3 linked regions of the Oreochromis niloticus genome follow. The protein of the gene in region 3 interacts with the protein of the main gene of each other region in a pairwise test. Links are inferred from orthologs where the notes say so. Each region holds a gene or a part of one and is shown on either strand. Other genes may lie near its edges.

Region 1 (8,235 bases), on a different chromosome or scaffold from region 3:
ACAACAACAACACAGCTCAACACTGCCTAATCATCTTCTTATGGAACAATACCATCATAAACAGTTCTAAATAAGCATTATCACTGTGTTTTTAATGAGTAGTTTAATTATATATTAAGTGTTGCATTAAAGTGAGAAAAACTGAAGATGGCTTTCTTTTCCTTTATTTTGGTTTTAATGAGCACCAAAAACATTTAAATAATTCAGTTCTGGCCACTGAGCAGTCATGTGTGGAAGATGCTGAGACGTCAGGCACCACGTTAGAGTTCGCTGTGCAGCAGGACTTTGGCTTTCTTCATGTTGTCGGCCACTGTGGACAAAGAAGGGACAAATAAGAGCAAGGCCTGCAGCGCTCTTACATGAGTGAAGTAGTTCAGAAATGAAACCTAAACCTAAGCTGCAGGTGCTACTTTTCCATTACTACACATTTAATGGCTTCAACTTCTTGTTTTAAATATTTTTTTTTCTTATGGGGTTTGTTTAAGAGATGGGAGATTTACTTTGTGCTTTTTAAATATATCTTGTTTGAAGTTTTTTAAGGTTATTGGCAGGGCACGGTGGCATCGTTGCCACTGTTGCCTCACACTCACTCCATCGCCTGGCTGGGGCCTTTCTGTGTGCAGCTTACATGTTCTCACTAGGTACAGTCCAAAGGGTTAGGTTAACTGGTGATTCTAAATTACCCATAGGTATGAATGTGAGTGTGAAAGGTTGTCTGTGTCTCTGTGTTAGCCCTGCAACCTGTCCAGGATGTAGCCAGATGGGATACACTCTAGCCAACTCTGATGGATGACTCTTATTGTGTTTAGATTTTAAATATATTAAAGACAAATGTCTCTGGGACCAACAACCACAAGGTTTGGACCTAGAATAACTCCCTGAATGATTTACAGTGACACAACAGTAATCAGCAAACACATAATGAATGCTGGTGCTTCAAGTGTGTTAATTGTGCTTTTAGTTTCCAAAGCCATGATTTAATGATTATATATCAGGAAGAAACAGTGTCACATACCTCACTTGCCTTCTCTTTTCCTCCTAAAAAATTAACTCTTCGTCTTTGCACTGCATTTGCAAAACTCCCACCTGTTTGGCTACTAGTGCTACAAGTCTGCTAAAGTTTCTCACTAACATCCACACGGAGCTCAAAATTCTTTCTGTCAGAACAATCTCATAAAAAAACTTAGTCATTTCTGTCAAAATATTGAGGAAGGGATACAGGGATTCAAGCTGTGGGGGATTAGTGTGTCTGCAGTCTGCTGACAGGTGAGCTGTGCAAACTGTCATTAGAGAGAGTGAACAGTCACTCACGGTCCTGGATGTCACTCGCTGTGTAGGTGTAGAGGTGGTTGCTGTACTTTCCTGTAATGTCTGTGCGCACAGTCATGGTTGGATCTGTAGAAAAACCACACACATGAACAGCTCAGAAAAGTAATCAGTATTATGTGACAGCTGATGTGCATTTTGTAAACTGAATGTGGTTCTGTAAAATTCATTATCTAAAACAATGAGTGAGAAAGCAAAAAGAACCTTGGGACTATCCAAACCATTAGATCTGGCAGGGTTATGCATGCTTTTGTTACATCTAGACTGGACATCTGTAATGCACTGTAGACTGCAGTTAGTCAGTCATCTCGTGCTCATTTACAATTACTTTGAAATGCTGCAGCCAGATAACTGAAGGGACAAGAAGGAGAAGTACTCCAGTGTTAGTGTTAGTGGCCTTTCACTGGCTCACCGTGCATTACAGAGACTCCAGCATGAAGGGGTGCTGTTTGTATTTAAAGCCTGGTTTAAATGGTTTTATTCTGTGCTATGCATGTATCTCTGTTCAACCTCAGACAAGGAAAGTAAACAATCTGTTCTTCTATATTGAAATTATATTAATAATGTAAGAATTTACCAACAAAGAGGATTCTGGGAACATAGTAACCGTCAGGTGCCAGATTCTTGTCCGAAGTCTCTTCCTGTGTATAACAATATAGTACACATGATGCACATGATTTTAATAATAAAATAATTATATATATATATATTCTGCATATATAACATATCTTTAATTACCACCACGTTGAGCATGATGAAATCCTCTTTTGCCATTTTCTGGATAGTCTTATCCGCAACAAATGCCTTCTTCAGGTCTGTTGAAATACTTTGGTTTAGTATTATATTTAGACTGGCTCTCAAATAATTATGAATGAATTATGAATTATATGATCTGGAAATATTAATAAATGTATTCTGCCTAGAAAATGTCAGAAGGAGGTAAAGCCTGTTGAGTTATTACAGACTGCATTTATAAACTTGCCTAACAGGTCAGAAACAAGTCTGGCAGGTTGGACCTTTAGAATATCTGTGTTGAGCATTCACGTAAGGGAATACACAACACACTATAAATATATGAATCCTGTCTTGTTAAAATGAGGACACATTACTAATAAAAAAATATATGCAACTTGCTGCAATCAAACGAAATGCTTCAGTATTCTGAGACTTTCAGAGGGAGGATGCAGAACGGGCTGCTTTTGGTCCACCCTAGCAAAACTCAAAATTTAGAGCCAGACTTCACTCTGTAGGTGGTCGTCATTGTTTATGGGTTAAGAAATGCCAGTGGAGACTTCCACTGAGCTTATTTCACAAAACCAGCTGAGTGATTTATGAACATAACTCTCACATACTTCACTGCCTGCTTTGTGGGTATTACAGAATGCACCCATTGTGTTCCCCGTGAAAACAAACAAGCCCAAGTCTGGGTGAGAAAGACAGCGCAGGAGGTGCAAGCCTATATTTTTTAATATATATGTATACTTAATAAACCAAAGTAGCAGCAGTACCTTTACTGTGTGGGCAGTTGTCTTTATGATGAATGACCATGAGAGGTTTCTGACTGTGAGAGCAAAACCACAGAGAAAGAACTCAGTACATTCCAAAACACAATAAACACAGTGAAGGGTGTGAAGGCAGTCTTACACAACCAAATGCCTTAGAAAGCAAAGTCCCCGTGCTGGATTTAGAGACAGATGAAGATTAAAGCAATAATGTGTTTCCCTTATGGAAAAGTAATGGAGCATCATTCCAACGCAGAAAGACACAACAAAGGAACAGACTTATCCAAACAAAATAAACTGACATCCAGCACTTTTACCCAAGGTTTAGAGTCCTACCTTTTGGCCATTTTTGCTAGGCCATCTTCATAATTTTGGGCCCAGTTAATACCACCTCCCCATCCTGCAGGCAGGAAATAAAAATACAGTTTTAAGTCAACAAAACTGCTGCATGTTGCCAGTATATTAACTATGTTCCCAAACAAGCAAAGTTCTGACTTTATTATGTCTGACAGCTATAAATGATCTTATGCAATGGTTCTTTAGACATTAACTGGAGCTGTGCATATTGAAAAAAGGAGATTTGCCCACCTCTTGACAAGGACTGACTCTTCACTTTCTTTTTAGCTTTCTGTTCCCCAGCACTGGCACAGAGGCCAATGAGCAAAGCAAGCAAGACCCAGCGAAGCATCGTTCCTTGTCCTTTCAGAGAGCTGCTGTGAAAGTTGGCAAATGAGTTCCATTGAAATTCAGTGACATTTATACTTAAATACAAAACACAAATCAGTTTTAGCTTGACTCACATTTGACAGATATATAAAGCTGCACTGACTCACCAAACACGCCTAACTAGGATTCACAAGGCGGTATGCAGAGTAACAATGAAGCCAAAGGAGCAAGCAAGCAAGAATTCATTAATGGTTCCACCTGAGACCATGTAAGTAAAATGGTTTATAAGCGGTAATTCTACACATAGTTACCACACTTGTATTTGTAAGGGGGGGGAAAAAATCAAGTCTGAATTTATGTGAAAAAGTGTAATTTGAAATAATTATAATTAAACCCCCACCAGTTCCTTAATTTACAAACCTTTTTCAAACTTTTAGTCAGGCATCTAACCATTTGAAAGAAATCATAATACTTTTAAAAGTCAATGAAGATATTCAGGTAGCAGGTAAATGTCTTACCTCGTCAATATGAAGCAACAAGCATCTGCTCTGACCCTCCTATGTGCGCTCTCTTTTGTCAGATTTTTTTTTCCTATCGAACTTGTCAAACAGGTATATCATAATAGGCTTAAAAAAACAGAAGAAGCACGCACATGCGCACAATTGTGCTGTGTAGTGGGATTACACCAGCAGATAGGGAAGCTAGCATTAATTTGGCTATTATCCCTTCTGTAAGTTTAAAAACATATATCCTTTATGGGCTGTTAGATGAAACTCGAGTCTATGGATTGAGAATAAATAAATAAATTTAACTAAATCAAAATAACTTTTTATTTTAATTTAAAATTTCGTTCTCTTAAAAAGTGTAAGCCTGAAAGTACAGTTGTTTCTAAAACTGCTTTCTTTCTATGACTCTTCCGCGTGTTGGTATAGAGGAAACTCCCACTCCATGCCAGAATAAAGACAGGGATATATGGCCCTTTTTTAGGCCATTTTTATTTTTATCCTGGCCATTGTCTCCACAACTTATAGGACAGGCAGCGGAGTATTTTTTCTAAAACGAATTGATTTCTGTTGTTGCAAATACTGATACCGGAGCTCGGTCCAGTGTAAAGGAATAATTCTTTCCACCTCTGCAATCCCCAGTACTGTCATCTTTATAATCTCGCTTCCAAAACTTACAGTTTATGAATGCCCTGTTTTATTTTGTATGTATATTGAATGCTTTTATCTAGTTGTTGCTCTATATAACCACGCTGTTCTGTTTTGGCGGCTATAATAAAGAATTTTCTATCTACTTAGCCTAGCCATTTATCTAGCCGATTGTTAGTTGTTGCTATGGACACAAAGAGAGCGCTTAGCAACAGTAAGCCTTTGGCGCAGGCGCAGTCCTTTTTAATGATGCACTGTGGGATTGCAGGACATAGACATAGCAACCAGGCGACAGAGTCACTAAGTTTTTCACTCTTAGTTAGTTTCGTGTATTTGTTCTTGATTAAAAGTACTTATCTTGGCTTTTTATTTACTACCATGAATGCGGCAGTGGTGAAAAAGACCCAGGACACGCTGGGCAAAGTGATAAAGAAGCCGCCGCTCACCGAGAAACTGCTAAGCAAGCCTCCTTTTCGATACCTGCACGATATCTTCAGTGAGGTGAGACTCAGCTGCTGACATTACACTCGAGAAAGCAAAGTGGATTTTATTTAAGGGGCACGACACTCTTCTTCTCAGAAGCCAAGCCTAATGCCACTTCTAAGTTAAAAACACAGACACAGGAGCTAGTTAGCCAGCTAATGCATAAAGGTTAGCAGGAAGCTAACCAAGTAGGTTCGCGAATATTACGGAACATTTTGTAAGCTCCAATTTCTGCAACTTCAGATTGTCAGTAACACTAATCCTGATAGTCAAGGGGTGCATTAGCAATTCACTTAAATGACAGGTTGCGCTTTATTTAATGTGGTGGGTTAGCAAGTGAGCTAGTTGTTTCAGCAGCGTCGTCTTGTTGCTAGGCACGACCTGAGCCCACACACGAATCAACAAACCGTTTTCCCCGCTGTTGGCTTAAAGGAGGGCACCTGCCAGCTAGGATGAACCTGTGCTAGGTTCTTGAATCCGTCACGTTGAGAACACAGATGCTGATCAGCTTATGATTACAGCTAAAAACAAGCACAGGCTGTGCTATAATTGGTGCCTCTTCTTTGATTTCCCTTCATTTTTTTTAAAGCTACTCGCAAGCCATGCATATATGATGAAGTTATAGCCGATGTCTTTCTGGTGTTTGCCAGGAAGATCTGTCTTCCGTGGCCTAGAGTAAAACACAGTAAAATGTCTGAGTTCTTGGCAGCTCAGACTCTTCAGTAACCCACAGCAGCTTTTACTCTCAGATGAAGAGAAGTGCAGATACAGATCAGGGTCAGCTACGTACTCTAGTATTTTATGTGCATTAGAAAAGCAATTGTACTACGTGAAAGTTTTCTGGTTCAGAATGGGTCTAGGTTGTGATTACACCTGGCACTTCTGACACAGAAAATAGAAACGCTTTTATTGTCCTGACTCCCTATGCGCTCTTTTCTGTTCTCTTTCCTCTGCCCCTCCCTGAGCATGCTTCTGTTGGAGGATTCCTGTTAAAAGGGAGTTACTCCATCCTACTATCACAAAGTGCTTGATCATAGGTGGTCACTTGATTGTTGGAGTTCTTTAACACTGTAGGTTATAACCTTGCCATGAGGGAATTTGGAGTACACAAATAAACTTGAATTGAATTGAATACTGTTTCTCTAAGCCATTTTATAAAGGCCAGTACTTAAGTACATGCATGAGAGAAGTAACAGGCAGTATAATGGGATGAAAGGAAACAATATAAGTACAGTAAAGGTGATTTTCCTCCTCAGAACAGTTTTGCCCCTCCCTTAGTTAGATAAATCTCATCATTGGCATTATGAAATCTAAGATTGCTGGAATTTTAAAAGAAAAGACTAATGTCTAATGTGTAAACAAAAGAGGCTTTAGTAAACCTCAAAGGAAAAAAACTTTCTCAGTTTTTAATTTTTTTAGGTTAACTGCCATCTGTTTAATTAAGAGTCAGAAATAACAGGACGATATATGAATGTATTCTAATGTTATCTGTAGCCACCCTTCCAAAGATCCATTCTGAGTAAGTACAACTGCTGCTATAGTATCATGGTTCTTTAAACACACACATACACACACACAGGAAACACTGCATCATCTCCACGGTCTGTTGTCAGTGTCCTGTTGTAAATACACTGCTGATCTTTATGATCAAACTTGTTTTGCTCAGTTGCGGCTTCTTTCATTTTCTTTTTCAGCATTTTATATGCACAGTTGACTCCTTTTACATAAGGTGTCAAGCAGAGTAAAATCTGTTACGCTCTTCTCAACAGAGGTGCCAACTCATTCTCACCTGTTCAGCAGTCTTATATTTCACTCCAGATTCATGCATATTTGATAAAGGGAAGAGTGTCGGCATGTTCGACTCCCCTCCTCTGACTAGGAATATGTCTGAATATGACTGTAGGACATAAACTGTTAAATCTATAAATGTTTTTTTTGTTGTTGTGTTACTTTAATGTTTAGGTTAATTCTCAGCAAATATTGTTTTTTTTAGCTCACAGGTGAAAAGCACTATTCCTGCACATACATGCAAACAGACTTTGGAGTGGACTTCTCGATGTACAGAAGCTAAAAATGGCATATAGTTGTAGTTTCATGTCTGTTTAAAACAACCTTTTTCCCACCATTTTCAGGTCATCAGGACTACTGGTTTTATGAAAGGCCTGTATGAAGAAACCGAAATGAAGTCAGACAGTGTAAAGGTACGTCTGTTTGACAGCTATGCTTATTAATATGACTAATTACAGTCTTTCCTCGATTTTAATCAACTTTTTAATACAATGGTGTTATGTCCTAAGAAGCAGCCTTGCTCATTTATGAGGTCACCCAGGCATTACACAGGACCGTGTGTGTGTGGCGGGGGGGGGGGGGGGGGGGGGGGGGGTAACCCTACCCTACCCGTTGTCTGTATAACACGCTCTTGAGAAGGAACGTCTGCCAGTATGTGACAGAGAGAGCATGTCAAGGTGTCAGAACTCAAGGCTGGTGTTGGCAAGTTGACCCCAGATTAAAACTGGATGGGAGGATGCTACAGCTGGAGGAATCTACTCAGTTAATCTAATATAAATGGTGTTTTTAAAAACTTGATTCCTTGTGACCCAATCGTCACAGTAGCAATCTGCCACTGTAAAGCATCCGAGTTAAACTTAAACACTGTTAAAATTTATTGAATCGTGTTGATAGACTCACATAAAAGTATCCAACCTTACATTTCCAAACCCTTCATGGTTATAAATAAATAAGCTTGCTGGATATCAGAGGCGTTTAAGACTCAAGTCGAACAGCTTACAAGAAAACAAAAATGTAAAGTTTTGGTAAAAGCTCATTCAGACATTGCTCTCTGTTGTGAAATGCTTAATCATAAGGCTTAGGCTGATATTGTTACTGTCATCTTTTAAAGACTTGCCTATCACTCTTTTTCTCTACTTTTTAATCTCAGCTATGTATGTTATTAATTTATTTGAATAGAGATTTCATGAAGGCATTAACACTGGAAAGCTCACCCTATTAGATGCTACACAGAAGGGCCAGGTGGTTGCACCAGACACACGTCCTTATGTTACGCAGTTGGCAGCCTTCTCAAATGCAGCAGGCCGATGGACCAGACG
Region 2 (8,567 bases), on a different chromosome or scaffold from region 3:
AACAGAGTTGCAAGCAGCCATGCTGTCCTGCATAGGAGTGTTCTGAGCATCGGAGCAAAACAGAACGTCCCTGCTGCGAAGCGTGACTGTTGCACCTGCCACACCCTGTCCCTCAGTATCTGATCACCGACAACAACACAGGCACTAATGTCAAGGGACAGAAACTGCATGAATAATGGACGCATTTCTCTCCTTCCTCTGTTGTCACCACACACCAGCAAAAGACACATATCCTCATTTGATACTTTTTCCAGTGAAGGGAAGTAGTCACAGCTTATCCAGTTACGCAGAAGTGTGAATTTGTTTGTCGTATTCAGACTCGCACACAGTCAGGGATCGTTTTTTAGCTAGTACTTGAAGTTCAGATTCAAGTAAGTTCACACATATTACACCATTTAGAAAATGTGGCCATTAAATGTATGTGTTTAGGTGGTTTAAGTATACAGTATTATGGTTGGTGAAGAACATATAAACATATAAACAAAGAACAGTAAAACTGGCACTGTAATTCGTCACTTATGATTATGCGGTAAATCTATAATGGTGTTGCATTTATACCTGGGTGTATATGGCAACGGCTGTATTGATGGCAACCTATAGCTACATTTCTTTGAAGGCGCTCCGGTTACGGCAAAGGCTACAGCGTAAGGTTTCAGAAAGGTCTGCGGTTACAACCTACCTTTGTACCTAATCATATTATGAGGTCATAGATGTCATACTGAGTGAAATTAAAATGCTTATTTCCTCAATTTCACCCTCACTAGGTATTTAAGTGAACTATTACAAGTACTACTAAATTATCTGAGCACAACAATAGTCTTGTCCTACATATATTTACACATTAGGCAGAGCATGTGATGACATTTTAGTACCATTTCCTGTAGATTTCCCCTAAGCTGCTGATTGTTATTTGCCTTTTTAAACAAGAATGTCTGAAGATAAATTATGCTGGCCCCTTCTCTGGGCTTTTAGCAGAATTTATTTACAGAAGGAAAGTGTTTCACAAGGCCCAAGGATGTTACATAAACCCGCGATACTGGTTTACACAAAAAAAAACTCTGAGCATGTGACTTGTTTGTTCCTCAGATTTGGGTGTAAACATTACTTATGAGCTTGGGTTTATAATACAAAAAAAAAAGAGAGAGAGAGCCTAGAGAAAACCAAGAGGGAACTGAGGGAGAATAAAGAACAAAGCAGAACAATGTACAATAAGGAGGATGTGGAACTGTTTAGAAAAACCCTGTCAGATAATGTTTTCTTCACTTGTTTTTTTGTTTTTTTTTTAATAAAAACAGGATGAGTCACAAGCCTCTGCAAACTAATAATAATGGCATATGGGCATCTATAAATACTTTAAGCCATTGTTGACACCATTTTCCTGACTACAGCTGTGGTGCTGAAGAAAAAAAAAAGAACCCACTAACCCTCTTTGCCTCTGTGTTGCATCAGAGGTATGACCACTAAAGGATTACACATTACTAAGGCTGCTCGCTGGTTGGAAGGTGAGCACACAACTAGACATTATGGTTTGTACAGGAATGAGGAAGTCCCTTAAAATGTCTGTGTGGGATGTCTAAACTCACTTCTTGAGGTTGCTGATGTTTTCTAACAAACAAAAAAAGAAGAAAAGAAAGAAAAAAGAAAAAAACACTCTTGTCTGTTGGTCACACCTAATAAGCTCATCAGACAAGTCACACCAGTCCTTTAGAAAAAACAACCACCGCAAGGCCAAAAAACAGCCTGTTGTCAGTCAGTGATTTCAGTGTGGTTGTTAAATTAGCCTGTTGTTATAATGCAGCTTTATAAACAGCACATTCTGTATTAATGACAACTGGGCTCTGTGAGTGTGGGCGTGCTTAAGTAATGGTGTCACTATCACCTGTCAGAAGACATGGACTGGCACCAGAACAAGAGAGGAAAAAAAGGCTGAGAAAACTACTTCCTGCACCTTGATGCCAGACAACAAGTGTATACCAGTCAAAGAAGCTTTCACACACAGAGCCTTCAGAACGACAGTTACCAGAGATACATATTAAACCTAACAACAATCCTTTAGTGTTGGTTGTTCATTTACTTATTTACGGTTAAACCCCAGGGCCCGAAAGAGGGACCAGAACCTGCTGTTGTATCATGCCTTTCCTCAACACCATTCAGTGGACATCCAATCTCAACTGTGGATGATGAAACACAGCTGCACAGCCATTTGGGCCCTCATCAGTCAACTCTGTACTTCCACTGACCCTTACCTATGACAAGCTTAGCGAAACACTGAAGATCCGAGGGCATGTCACAGGAAAAAATAAAGTTCAACCAAGTTCAGTGTTTTCATTCACTGTATAAAACAGCTAGGAAAACAGGTCTAGTCTAATAGTTGGTCCTTTTTTATTAACTCTGTAAAACACGCAGCAAAGACATAGGCAGCAGTAAAAGAAATCATTCATGGTGGTTATAAAAGCTATCAGATATGGGATCACATGCTTTGAGGAGGAGGGCGGGGTGGACAGGGGGAGATGATGACACAGTTACGGCAAAAGCTTCAACAGAGTCCAGGTTCTGTTTGTCTAACTTGCCAAGATAAAAAGAACCTGTTATTTTATTTGGGCAATTGATCACAACACTAATATCTGAACCTGTTCTGTTAATGGGGACTTTTTTCCTGTCCAGGAAAAGCGTCACTAGTGGATGACTTGCAGAACTGAAAGAGAGTTAACATGTCTAACTCTAAGACAGCCTGTCGGCGTAGTCTACCTCACACTTTTAACGCTATAACGTCTGTAACACCGGCGTAAATACACTAGTACTGTAATTTAGCTGTAATTTATGATAACTGATAAATAAAAGTTTAAATAAAGTCTATCTCTCTAATAGCCCGCATTAAAAAAGGAAGTTGACAGTCAATGTCAGATAGTTTGTCTACTCTTTTCTAGCGATCACTTTTGAGAAATACTCTATTTACCTGTTGACCGGAATGCATCACCTCCATTTCCATCATTATGGAGCTCTGTCGTGAGGTTTTGAAAAAAAAAAAAAACTCCTTATGACTGAAAAATTTGTGTGTTATTCCTTAAAATTGGATATAAAAATGGCGAGCGGTCTGGAGGCGATATAGTCCGTCACGGGAGCTGAGCGGCGAGAAGTGCTGCTTCCTCCAAACCTAATGAGCATTACGGAAATGATGGCCCTCCCCACCGGGATCGTCCCCCTCGCGGTGGCCTATGAGGGCTGGCGATAAGGACTGTGTGTGCATGCGCATGGAGTCCATTTAACACAATAGTTGCCACGCAAAAAAAATTACACAATATATTTATGTGAAAGTTAAAGGTTTTATGATACTTTAACCAATACGTAAATTGCAACATGTAATACCTTCGTTTATAGTCAGCGTTATATAAGCCAGCTCATAAAAGAAATATATATAATGTGTACCTTCTATTTTAACTCCGTCACGGACATGACCAGACTTTGTTTGGTGCATACCTCCCCCTGCTGGTGACCGTGACCGGCGTGGAGCTGGAGACCCTGGGGCCCTGATGTTCCTTGTGCAGCTGGGTAGACCATCACAGAATCATAAAGAGAGAAACAGAACACCCAGTTTAAAGTTACAGTCCTGCATTTAAAGTTTTACTTTGAAGCTCAGACCTGTTCGCGGCAAAATACCAATATGTGTTAAAAGCCCCAGTGCAGAATGACCTCTGTTAGGTTTTGTTTGTTTGTTTATTTGTCTGTTTGTTTTTGGAAGGGAGGTAGGCGCATAAGAGATACTAGTTCAAATGGGTGGAACTATTACTAACATCTTTTGGGAGGAGGTTGAGGGTGTGGGAGTCAGACTCTGCCATAATTCACTGGGTGTTCTAATTGGAAAATCTTCATCTGTCAAGTAATGAATCATTACAGTGGGTTAACTAAATGTGCTACAAGCTAAATTATTCCCTGTTACACTATTTCTCATAAAATTAAACAAAACTGACGTAATGATCTAAAACGTCTAAGTAAGGAATCTCAAAGATTTGCAGATCTGTAACTCCTTTCCATTATCGATATATATGTTTGTTTTATGTAGTGGAGAAAAAAATATTAAAATTTTAACCATTATAATGCAGTAAAGGCTATTCTTCAGAACTGGTACATATATGAAGTTACTGTAGAGTGTAGAGTGTAGAAAAGTTGCTTAGGTTATATTAATATTGTTATTATTTAGCCAAAAGTTGCTAAGCTTACCGAAATACTGCACATTTCAGTACATTTTGTAAGGAAATATGCAGGTTTTTACTCGATTTACTGGGCAATTACCATATTATAGTATATATTGCAGTAGTTTTTAAGCATTTTATGCTATTTAGTACTTCTACGATAGATAGATAGATAGATAGATAGATAGATAGATAGATAGATAGATAGATAGATAGATAGATAGATAGCCACTAGTTAATCAATAGTAGTAATAGTATAATATCCTAAACCATAAGGATATTGGATCACTCTGGGTCATATTGCTGTGTTTTATAGCAGCGTTTTATTAAGGTACAGTCTAATAATTTCTTTCACCACATGTGCTGTAGATTATTAACATTAATAACAACATGAAACATTGATCCACCTTGACAAACTAGAACATTAAAATACTATTTTAACAGCAAATTATATCCATTAACAAGTTAAGAGTATGAAAGAGGACATTCTCCATAAGCACTACTTTTCATTCAGCTAAATGTTGTTGGTAATTCCTCGGACCTTTCCAAAAATTGGAATGTGGGTTATGATTTATTATTACTTTTCCACTTCCTAAGTAGGCTAAAGGATATAAATCTTCTCTCCACACTGGTGGAGAGCACAGGTATGTAATAAACGTTGTAGCAGTCGATCTGAGATTCGCCCATTTAAGAAAATTAAGAGGAGGATAACCCAAAGAAAAACCCTCATTCTTAATCACATTTGAATCATTCTGAAACCTCGGCGTTAGTAAGAATTCGAAACCGAGGTGCCATTAAGTGGCTTTTCAGATATGCCCGTGTAATAAGACAGGCTTGTTCCCGGTTGTAGCACCCATCTGTGAGGCGTCTCGCACTAAAGTGCAGCTCGCTGTGCCACTGCGTGAAATTACACTAAAAAAGCCTATTTTTGCCTCTCGTGCGCGCTCCTGAATACGCGTTCACGTTTGGCAGCTCCACGTCGACATTCTTCCAGCTGCATATAGTGAACTGCACAGCACTGGGGGAAGAAAAGGTAAAAGCGGCGGCGGCCACCTTACGATTAGAGCGCTGCAAGTCCGCCGATGGACATCAACTGCAGTGAAAACAGGCGTTTGCAATGTGAATCTATCCGTGGCGTGCAAAGTCCTCAGTTCGCTTTCATCTTTTGCGTTTTATGATCTAGACTGTTTTCCCCTCGTGTTGGATTGCAGCTGGTCCCTTGTGTCTACCTATATCAGGTACAGTATGACTTGCAAAGCTCACTTTGCCTTTAAAATCGTACTTCTTAAAGAAATAATCGTTAAGATTCCGGTTGACACGTTGCAGTGTTGATTTTGAACGTTATTTCTGCACTTCTGAAGTTGCTGTCATTTGGTTGCTGATGAAGTGCCAAGTTTCCAACTACATTCAAACTGTTAGAACTCAATACTCCTGGAGCTCAGCTGGCCTTCTGAACTTTCCTCATTGCTATCATATCACTCTTTTGTAAATGGGTTATTCTCAAGGGCCTGTTTAATTCAGAAAGTTGTTAAAGCTCAACAGGTAGTCATTTATGCCCTGTGGTACTTGAAGTGAAGTAATCCTTTCAAAAAGGTAGCAGCAAGACTGTAAAACTTAAAATATGCCAGCCAGCGTAGACTTAAAATGTAACCTTTGCAAGCAACCAGATGGGCAAGACTAAAGAGGTAAGTAAATACACTCAAGAACCATTTTTGAGGAGGGTGTACTGCAGGATCAACTTTTGCACACACCCAAATATTATTTAGGTCTTTAATCATTTCTGTATTGCTAGCAGCGTGTAAAAAGACACCACCTGGCCTGCTATATACCTGTGTGACTCTAGGGAGGAACCACCAAACAGCTCGCCTTTCTTCAGGCCCGTCCTTAACACATTTAGATCTTAGCTCTGCCTTTTTGAGCTGTTTTCTGTTATATTTTTTTAGTGGAGTCAGTATAGTGAAAATTAAAAAAAAGATAATACAACATGGCTGTCTTGTTTTCCCTTGCTTTTGTGCCTTGCTGCAGGTTGAAGGAGCACCCAGTCATGAGGAGGATAAGGTTCCACACAAGGACAAACCTATGAGGTGGCACTGTGGCTTTCCAAATAAAGTTCTGTGATACACTTAGACTCTAACTGCCCGCAGTCAGTGCATTACAGAACTTTGTTTTGGAAGTTAATACTTTAACCATTTGGAAATAAAACCTCAAACATCTGGACATTTTAGTTTACAGAATGTCTCATTGTTTCTGTTGGCAAATGTTGTCTAAAATAAAGTTTCTATTTTAATCCATTTTTTACAGTCTCTTTCCTTCAGTACTTTAATCCTGATTGAATTGTACTTCACAATAATGTTGCTTGTGGTGTATTTGCTGTCGTTTTGTGTCAAATCATTACTTTAAAAGCAGCCATGTGGACCATATGGAAGTGGTAGTCACGCTGGTCAGGTGACTGAGTGGAGGTGAAGCAGAAAGGTAAACAGTGTTGACTGTTTCAAGTTACTCTGTTTTTACAACCACATCAAAAAAAAGTGCACACATGAGCAATTTTGACCAGGTGACGATGCAGCTGTAGTAAAGGTAAATCATTACAGATGTTCTAGGATTAGTTTACATTTTTAAATTTGGATTCGTCCTACATATATCTGGCTAAAAATGAGACAATTAAAAAATTCTGATACTTAACTTACAGACTTGCTGAATTGTATGTTTCCACTGTTCACTTTCATGCATTTGTGTCAAAATGGTGTTTAATGTAGGGTATAAGTGATTCTTTATAAATCCGATAAACTCTTTAATATTCCAAACAGAAGGGTTACCGTTGTTTTATATAATTTACTAATTGCATTTACTATCTTAGGCACAGACTGTATACTGGGCTAAGCCATATAAAAGATGTCTCAGCAGTAAGTGGAACATATGCAACCAGCCCTTTACAGTCTATGCTAATGTTGCAATGCATGCTGGGAAACGCGTTAAATGGTGCATTCAAACGCTTCTCGTTAACTCCTTTCAGAATGAAATGGGAGCATTGCATTGATGTCAACGGTTCGTTTAAAGGTTGATTAATAAAATAAATACATAAAATATTGTCATTCACTTATTTATAGTATGAAACTTATGGAGATTGTAGGCACAAGTACAATCCCGATCACCTACAACCGTGAACAGTTTTCTTTTCTTGGGTCCTAAAATGCGGAAAATCCTTAATCTATGTTAATCTATGTTCCAAAAGATAAACGTCTAAACGTCTAAAACATCTTTAAAAACGCAAAATGCTTAAATTGAGAAGCTAGAACCTGTCCAAGTTTAAATATCTTCAAAATAACCTTAAATAATGCTCTGACCTATGCTTTTCTTAATCGACTTACCGTTTTCAGGTATAAACTAGCCCAGTGTCTGATAACAATTTAATGTACCCAAAATAACAACATTTATTTTATATTGTATGCTTTAAAATCCTAACATTACATTTAACACTCGCGTGTGGGGGTTTGTTATTTCCTACAGGCATTGAATGTGCCACACTTTCCCTGCTCTGACCTCTGACAGGAGCTCGCGGATCTGCTCCCTCCCTGTACAAACACGGAAGCAGCATGGCGTCCAACAGCAGCGGCAGCGATAGCTCTGACAGGCAACGCATTGCACAGCAAAGACTGAGTGTAATTGCCGGGCATTTACAGAGACCGGTGGAGGGTAACTCGGGCATCCTAGCCGCGGAGTGCAAAGCCCAGGGAGACAAGCTAGATGTCTCCAGCGAGCGGAGGACTGTGCCGAGGAGGAGGTACGAGGCTGTGATGGAGCGGTGGACGAGGGGGGCTTATCCGCTGTGGTTTTGGGTACTTTTTAAGTCAAACTTAAGTGCATTACCAGCTAAACATGAGGCATTTGGGTGGCGTGCAGCGGTAGGCTGGTTGCTGTCTCCCCACTAGACATAAATATCTGTTAGAGACGTAGCTGAAGCGGAGTTTGGTTAGCTTCATAGCTAACGTTTCTAGGCTACAGAGCAGCCATTCATTTGCTAAGGGGTGGGTGCGGCTAACTGTAGGAGTATTGAAGAAGTCGACTTTCTCAAAGTTTGCCAGCTGTAACTCTCATCCACTCTCGAAGTACACTCTTTTATTTGTTATGTAACTATGTTTCCTTTCAGTGAGGTCCTTAGTGTTTGATTAATCCGATTTGACATTCATTAACTGTTACTGAGCTGTCCGATTTAATGGGGTTGATAAGCGGTTCTCCTTTTTGGAGTTGACCCGTTAGCAGGTTCACCAAAATTTTGTCTCTTGTGAGAAGACATCTTAGGTAAAATAGTAAAGTAGCCTGTAGCTAAAGTGCAACAACAGTCAGAGGAGACAGAGAAACTTCTGTCTCCTCCGTTGC
Region 3 (8,599 bases):
AGGTAAGAGATGTAGCTGAACAGGAATGCAACTAAGCACGTGCATGTCTTAATTGCGTAAGCCCTAAATGAGAAGAAAACAGCATCCCACAACAAGATATCACTTTCCTACTAATCATGTTTAGACCTTTACACAGTAGCACATGGCTTGACATTCTCCCTTAGGAGAATTATTTTCTCCACTTATTTTCACTAAGTGCTGTCATTCATTCAGTCTCTGTTTTCTCCATCAAAAAAATGGGCCACAGTGAGTAAGGAGGGCTGCATGCCTGCACAGTGAGCGCAGCGTTTCATGTACACAGGCTGGAATGTGATGCAGTTGACCATCGGTGTCTGATAGCTGGCATCTGCTAGGTGGGCTCATTCCACCGCAGCACAGCAGAGGCTTAGGTGGTACTGAGAGAAACTCTACACCTCTGCAAGGCAGGGAGGGGCATGAGAACACAGCATCACTAATGCTCATCAACCATGACCCCTGCAAGGGACCCCGACGAGCACATCAGTTTAATGTATCCATCTGGGATTGGCAGAGCGGCAGAAGGCTCACAAGTCCACTGCAAACTCACAGATTACAGAAAGGTTGTCACTATAGACAGACCATGGATGAATGGTGTAATGAAAGAATGACTGGGGTGGGTGGGTGGATGGATGGATGGATGGATGGATCGATGGAGAGATTGGTGCATCATTGGATAACCTGTTCTCAGTATACATGCTGCTTGGATCATTACAACAACAGCAGTGATGTAGTAAGAACAGACTGAGTCAGAGAGGATCACTTCCACTGATGTCAGAATCGTTGATCTAGTTCCTGGAAGCTCGCTTTAACAATCTCATCACTTCTCAGCTGTCAATTTCACAACATGGGTTGCAACATGTGTGATCAAAATGTGCTTTATAAGACCCTTGACAAATCTACATGTGAGGTGTAAAAATATTTTGATCAGTCTGGCTTCAGACTGTATAAATGGATTAAGCTAGTGAAACAACATACTTGTATTCATATTTCATATGATTCCAAGTTTAGCAAATGGCTGGCTGTAAAGTAGGTTTGCCACGAGGCAGTGCTTGAAGACCTGAGCGAAGAGAACGCAGCGCTTGATGAAGAACAGTACTGCTGAAACACAATGACTTTTAAAAGAATCTACAATAACACCATGTCTTTCTTATGATTCTGTGGATTTTTTAGTCTTGTGCTTCACTTCAGTGCCAGAGGAGCTGCACACTGTACTCCAAAGATTCACAATTAGCGGACACCTGCCTACTGCTTGAATTAGACTTCATTTATTAGCTTTCATATTAAATATAAGCAATTCTTGGAGGTGTTTAAGAAGAAAACATTTGTGAAACACTAATAAACTTATTTTCCCAGCGTTTCTCTTCCAAGTCAAATGCTTACAGCTGTGCTTAGACTGGTGTATGAGCACAGCTGCTCAGACTTCCTTCTCCCATGACACCAGGCTTCTGCTCGGGGGATGCTGAGATGTTTCCAAGCCAGCTGAGAGACACAGTATATCCTGACTCTGCCCAAGGGTCTGTTTCCTCTTTGGCCATGTCTGAAACACCTCACACGCTGACCTTGTGATTCTATCTCAGATGGGAAACTTGTCAGCCTTGCCTTCGCAAATGGCGCCGTACGACAAGGGTGATGCAACATCCGCTGCTGCGAGCTAGATTTTGGTGTCATTTTAGCCTGTCGTGCACCTCTCAGTTTTTTGTAAGCACATGTAGGTTCTGCGGCTGCTTTTACTAACATTTTATTGCTCCACAAGTACAGAAGCTTGTGGATTCACAGATTATACAGAGGACAATATTGCAACAGTTTGAAAAAAATGAGACTTTGCTTCAAGTTTTAACTTATTCTCATTGTACAGCAGCGCTGACATGAAGGTTTTGTCTGAGTAGTGACACCTAGTGTTCAGGAAAATACTGCAGAAAGTAACCACGCCCTCAGTGCTGGTAGAACTGCTACAGAAATGTGGCGACATGTGTGTTGCAACACAGCCTAACAACAGGTATAACGGGTCCATAAGTGTGAGTCCAGGCAGGCATAAGTGTCTTTCAGTTGCTAACATTAGCTCATGGGCAGAGATAAAGCTCAGATTTTAAACTGACCAATCAAATTGACAGCTTTGCTTCAAGGCTCAGCTCTCTCCTCATAAAATCTGAATAGAATATGCAGATGCTGCACCAATCCATCTGTCCACTCTTTCCCCCACTTGTGAACAAGATTCCAGGATACTTAAAAACCTGCAGCATTAACAACAGGCCCAGGACCCCATTCTCCTGAAGCATCTCCCACAGGACACCCAAGAGAGTCACAGATACATGAGAGATATAGAGTGGTCAGGCAAACTCCAATGAACTGTCTTCACACAAGGCAATTTCCCATGACTCTGAGAGATGATAGTAATCCAAACTAATACTTGGATTAAGAGTCTTAAACCACTGTATCCCACCCACCCTTAAGCTCCAAGAAAATAGCCTCCCTGCTGACAAGGAGTTCCGAACCAAATCTCAGCTTTGTCTCCGGCCGTGGGCACCGCACTGAGCTGCTGATAGGTTTCTCATCAACATAGACCAGGCTGCTGTAGGGACAGGAAGCGTTTGTCTCTGTCAGCAGGTTGCCACGGTGAATTCTGGGAGTTAAGCCTTGTACGCATAGCATTCTTAGTTCCCACATCTCCCTCCCCCAGCTCAGTGACCATCCACGCCAGGAACAAAACCCTGGGAATGCGAGCTATGCGGAGCTGCAGCTCGGAGACACCTGTTCAGGCAACCAACACGGGTCAAACTCTCCTACACGGAGCCTCGTCTGAGTCACAGCATTTGACTCCACCCTAACCTCCGCTGCTCCCATATACACACTCCAGAGAACTATGTGCACAAAAAACAAAAGAAAATCATCTGGCAGCAGGCATTTGTACAGTCAATTTCCAGGATGCAAACATTTGTACCTTGACCCCTTCAATCATCACCTGAACCCACTAACCATGACAAACCTGATTTAATGAAACCCTCTGTCATGATGCCCGACTGCTGACCTCAAAAACAAGCTGGAGTAATGAACTTGACTAAAATACTTACAAAGTCTCCTGAGAGACTTTTCCTGCCCATTTGGAATGCAGACTAAAGGCCTCCTACCTTTTTCTAGACCAGATTTTTAAAAAAAACACAATAACAAAAAAACTGGGTTATTCCCAGTGAGAGCACAATAGGTGGCCAAAAAAAACTGTAGATTAAACCACACAGAGGAATGTCAGCTCTTCAGAAAGTCCCCTCAGTGGCAGTGAACCATGAGAAAAAGAAGGTCATCCTCTTACCATCTTTTTTTCCTTTTCACTCTCAGCCAAAGCACCACAATGTGGTAAAAGGATACGAACAAAATCACTACTGAGTGATGGGACACAGTTCAGGCACTTTACCTGCCAGCAAGCAGTGAGAGGTTTATTTGGAATAAGGCCACCTAGACATTGATTTAAATTTGGAAAATCCTTGAATTCAATGGGATGTTTGCCAGTGAAGTCCAGCTTTCTTTTTAATGAACTGTTTCCTCCAAACATCACTGCACTTCCTCTTTTACATGACAGCCACATCTGCAGTCAGTGGTTATGAATTTAACTTTCAAGGGAATGAGTGACTCAGAGGAATGAGAGGAATTGAAAACAACAGCTTAATTCAGCAAATTATACTGGTGTCTTGGGTCCCTTTGACTTTTGGCCACTTCAAGAAACCCATTATAGGAAGATACTTTCACTTCTGGACTATCAGGCACTCTTAAGTAAAGATGCACAAAGGGTGTGAGCTATAATTATATGAAGGCAGAGCAATAAGGATTATGAAGGAATTGTGTGAGACAAAACACACACACACACCTGCCTGATCATGATTATGCACATTCAAAATATGCAAAACCAGTGGCGGAGCTGGGAGGCGGTGGCAGCTGGCCAAGTGCTGAGTCTCCCGGTGTGGCAGCCCAGTCAGAGGCTTGGCGATGTCAGCCAGTGTCAAGCTCCGTGTCACCATACTTGACTTCGCAGGGCATAAGGGCTCTGTATTCCCTCTGTCCACACTACAAGGCGTGGATAGAGGGAGAAGGAGCTTTACATTGTAGGTGTGTGTGCTTGTGGAAAGGTTGCATTTATGCTTGCTTTGTGTGTATTTTACCAGGTTGGACTACCTGTGTCGTGTCATTAGGTTGTACATGTAGCCGTGCATGTTGCTATCACTAATAACAACTTATTACGGTCATTTCGAAACATTGTTGTGGGCCCTGCAACACAGCTGCGTTCACTTCCCCACGGAAACCCCACACGAGAAAAGCCGTCAGGTGAAATTTTTATTTTACTACTAAAAAGGCGATATTAGGAAAGAATTTCACATTTCAATGCGCATATAATGTCGGAAGAAGGGGACGAGGTTAACATTTCTTTCGAATAAATCAATTTTACCGTGTAAAATTTGGCACAAGTCCCACTTGTATATTTTGTAGGTTGGTAACAACTGAAGTTCGCTGTTAGGTTAGCGCATACAAAGCAACTCCACCTCTACTATACTGTCACACGGCTAGTCTTGCTACCTATAGCCTTACGCATTTCCCCATGGAACCACTGCAATATCCAAGGCAGCTTTTATTTTAAATACAAATATGTTAGTTTGTTTTCATTGTTCTGACAGCTGTGAGGATAAATAACGTGATGGTTCTACTCACTCGGAGTTCGGAGTTGAATGGCCACGGTGTAGCTACTCCACTGGTTCTTTGGAGGGCAAAACTTTTCACTGGTTTTGTTTCCCACTTTCAAAACCGTCTGTTCTCTCCTTTGTAGACCCCTTAACTCATCCCCGCTCTCTGCGGTGTTTGCTGAGCTTTCAAAACGTTACGCCTCAGCAGACAGTGCCACTCTCCAAGAATCGTAAAGTGCTCTGTCAAGGGGCTGACTTGGAAGCGGTTTGTATATTTAGACACAGCGTTAGCGGGAGGGCGTGCAACAACACAGAGCTGCTCTCAGATCTGTGCCGCGCGGGGCTTTCACCACTCAGGCAACCCCATTCGCTCGTTCATTGGTCAGTGTTCTATCGAGGCGTGTCCAGAGATTCATTCTACATTTTAATTGGCTTGTTTTTGTTGTCCGTCATCCACAAATGCCTTGTAAACTTGCCTTTCCGTAGTAAGCAAGGAGGCACAATTACAATTAAAAATCAGGTCGGTGAGGAAATATGTTCATGGACAAATAGATGGGAAATTTACAGAAGTGCGTCCAAAGCAAAGGTTATTTGTGCCAATTTAATCATAAGGAGTGAACGTCTTGATGCATGTTCAATCATCCAGGTAAGTAAATCTCCAAAGGTTGATTCTGTTCATCTGGACATAAGGAGTGAAGTAATTCATTTTCATTTATCGAACAGTAGCATAGTCGGACTTTTTTGTTTTGTTTTGCTTCGAGCCGTTAATGTTTTGTCTAATGTTTTGCCAGTTTTTATTCCCTGGATCTCAGTGAAACAGTTTGTAATCTGTATCTTTTTTAAATAGCTGGAAAAGAAATCAGAACTAGAAAAACCACAACCCAACAGAATCTAGTGTTCAGGTGAGTTTTTGTACCTTTCGTACTAGAGCCATAAAAGTGGTGTGATACCTCCCCCCTACCGGCCACATTAAGATAGAAAGCAACAAGCTGCCCAATGACGGGCCAGAAGTGATTTGATTTATTTCTGCTTTATTCTTAAAACAAATAAACAAATACGTAAATAAATATATTAATTAATTAATGGAATTTGAATATAGCTCAGAGACATCATACACATGGACACACGCAACACTGGGCGTGTGTGAACAAGTTGCTGAAATATGCTAACAATAGAAACACCCCCTGTTTGTGGCCTCTTGTCCCCACATTAAATTGCACTGTGAGCCAAAATGCTTAACTGCAGCTTCTTTTGTCCTCGGGCTTGGGATATGTTGTGGGCTGCATTGTCTGGGAACAATGGACTCCTGCAGCCCCCTTGTGACAGCTACTCAGACTTTAATACAACCTGGTCAAACTCTGTGTTGGGAACGTAGTACGCGTTTATAATTCAGTTCATAACGATTCCTTTGGGGATTTATATATTTATGTTTGGATTTGTTTTTTTTATCATTACTATATCCCTTTCATAAATTTTTAACAGACAGATTTTTTAAAAAGTTGACTGAAAGCAGAATAGTACAGTAATAAAAAATGGCCCCTGTTTCATTTGTTAATCTTACAAAGGAAAGTCTGTCATTCAAAATCTTCCCAGTCGTTTGTGGTATACCATAAACCGTGTTTTAGATAGTGCAGTTTTACTGATTGCTGACGCTTTGATGAATATTACCTGCGATGTCAAAGTACAACCACTAGATGTCAGGAGAGAACAAGTCACTGGTTCTCAGATCTGTAAACATGATATTTATATTCATAATCGTTTATTCAGTATGGAGGACCACAAGAGCCACGCGCATCAAATCCAAATTCTGGGTAGAAAATATCCGATGCAGCAACCCAGATTAACGTTTTTGCAAGTTTTGAGGGGACTCCAGTCGCTTTGTGGCCCGGATGTTGCCATAGAAAGGGGGTGTGTGTAGTTGCAGCGGTTGCAGCTAGGTTGCCAGGTCTGCAAAAAAAATTGAAGTTAATGTATACTCGTCATTTTTCCAAATACTTATCAGTGACGTCATAGTGCTGGCACACGAGGTGATTTTAATGCGCCATTAAAACATTTATGTGTAAGTTTTACATATCCAAATTCGGTAATGTAAAAGTAAAATTAACAGTATGAGCTTAACAAATATATGTACATGACAGAGAGCAACAAAAACTCACACATATAATGTTATTAGCATGACTGGGTAAACATTTTCTGACTTCACGAAGGCGTGCTCCTAGTGGTGGATTTGGCCTATCTGGCAACCCCGGTCTCAGCTCAGCTTCTCTGCTACGTTTGCTCGGCTGTTAGAGACACGGCTGTGAGCCAGAGTGGGAGATGGACTGAGTGAGGGCGCTCTTTCGACCAGTGCAGCCGATTTAGCATTGCAATACCCAGAAGCTAGGCTGAAAAATAACTGGCGATTTCAGGTCGCTGAATCAACACGAAAACATAGTGCAGTTATCAGTCTTTCACATCCCACTCCAATCACACTAACACGGCATTGATGGTAATGTATGCAAGGAAACAACCGAGACTCGGCGATGGGTAAACACCTCCTTTTAACCCTACTTATTCAGATTTTTTTTTCCTTTTCCTCATAGCTACGCTTTGACAATCCGCCATTTTTACTGAAACCAAAATAACTGTGTGGAAACTTGTATCCCTCACTCGCTGCGGGGCTTTCACCGATTTCTGAACATTGACATTTGAAGCTTAAAATTCACAACTGGTTCCTTTTTCTTTGCAGGTGCGACCGAAGAGATTCTCAGCCCTATCAGGTACTTGTTAGCCAAGCGTCTCCTGCTAGCTTGCTAGCAGCAAATAAGATTAAAATGGACACTCTAATGCAGGCTTCTGGAGAGCACAACAGGCCCCAGTCAGTGCGGAAAATAACACAAAAAGTAGAAAGGTTTGCTTAAAACCTCCATTGAAGCCCTGTAAATGTATCCTAACGTTAGCATTGCTAGTAAAGACTTGACAGAGTGAACATATTCGTCGAAGTCGGCTGTTTTGGAAAAGGTACGGGCGAGTTTTATTACAGCTGAAAGCTAATGATAGCTTGTTACTGTTAGCTTGCTTGCTAGCCAGTCCGATTAGGGCCTGACCGCAATCTGTCATTTTAAGGATATAGCCAGTTAAGCTTCCTTAATATCAAAGTGCTTGACATTTATACAGCAAACCAGTGTATTCACTACCTAATTCAAATTGCGATAGCCAAGTGAAATGGCGAGCTAATACTCGTAGGTCGGATAAAATGTTGTTTACTTCGTCATTTAACATGTGTTAGTTTGCATGCATACGTTGTTATGAGCAGAAATACGGGCTAAATTAACGTGGCTGTTAAATATAAGCTTATAGAAGGGGCGAAGTCGATAAATAAGCTGCTCAATTTATACATATGTATTTCCTCGTGCTAATTAATTTCTGCATCATTGAAACTATGAATGAAATGACATGACAGTACTTTAAAGAGCTGAGGACTGTACTCACCATGGCTGCTTTTAGAAACCTGCTAATGGTGATAACAGAAGCGTAGATCTATTTTAAGTGTGAGGTTTTTAGTAAGGCATTTGATTTGTGTTTACAGACTCTCAAATACTCATCCAAGAGCCATCCAGGAGGGGACCACCGGCATGACAAGATGCGAGACTCTTCAGACATCACCCCTCCCTGCAAGATGCTCAGGAGGTCTGACAGCCCTGAAAACAAGCACATCGACAGCACGGGGCACAGTAGAGCAAAGGGTGTCCACACGCACCGGGCCAGAGACAGGGATGGAGGTGAGAGCGGGGAATAAAATGAGTTTAGAAAGAAATAAAGCTGCTCTCTTTAATTACTCCAGAAACAGGTGCTCTTTCTCTTAGTGAGGCGCTGTTTTGTTTTTTTGTTTTTCTTACAACTGAGTGCTTCAGTATTTAAACTGCACCTGTCAGTTT

What was found.
Region 1: the proteins of waca (region 3) and traf3ip1 interact in a two-hybrid assay, tested with the Homo sapiens proteins (2 studies listed by BioGRID and IntAct). The link is inferred for Oreochromis niloticus from reciprocal best matches to the Homo sapiens genes WAC and TRAF3IP1.
Region 2: the proteins of waca (region 3) and nfe2l2a interact in a two-hybrid assay, tested with the Homo sapiens proteins (2 studies listed by BioGRID and IntAct). The two-hybrid records come from large-scale screens. The link is inferred for Oreochromis niloticus from reciprocal best matches to the Homo sapiens genes WAC and NFE2L2.

The regions. Positions count from the first base shown.
Region 1 is NC_031987.2:3,857,500-3,865,734, forward strand, and holds the start of traf3ip1 (TRAF3-interacting protein 1), read left to right. Parts: upstream 1-4,864; 5' UTR 4,865-4,891; coding exon 4,892-5,146; intron 5,147-7,260; coding exon 7,261-7,329; intron 7,330-8,235. Other genes in the region: agr1 (anterior gradient 1), read right to left, coding at 261-310, 1,312-1,395, 1,904-1,967, 2,065-2,141, 2,835-2,887, 3,165-3,228, 3,417-3,516.
Region 2 is NC_031987.2:17,010,772-17,019,338, forward strand, and holds the start of nfe2l2a (nuclear factor erythroid 2-related factor 2a), read right to left. Parts: upstream 3,160-8,567; 5' UTR 2,993-3,159; coding exon 2,957-2,992; intron 1-2,956. Other genes in the region: agps (alkyldihydroxyacetonephosphate synthase, peroxisomal), read left to right, coding at 7,784-7,971.
Region 3 is NC_031974.2:29,244,121-29,252,719, forward strand, and holds the start of waca (WW domain-containing adapter protein with coiled-coil), read left to right. Parts: upstream 1-5,218; 5' UTR 5,219-5,312; coding exon 5,313-5,328; intron 5,329-5,529; coding exon 5,530-5,584; intron 5,585-6,968; exon of another isoform or gene 6,969-7,167; coding exon of another isoform or gene 7,168-7,208; intron 7,209-7,410; coding exon 7,411-7,441; intron 7,442-8,250; coding exon 8,251-8,443; intron 8,444-8,599.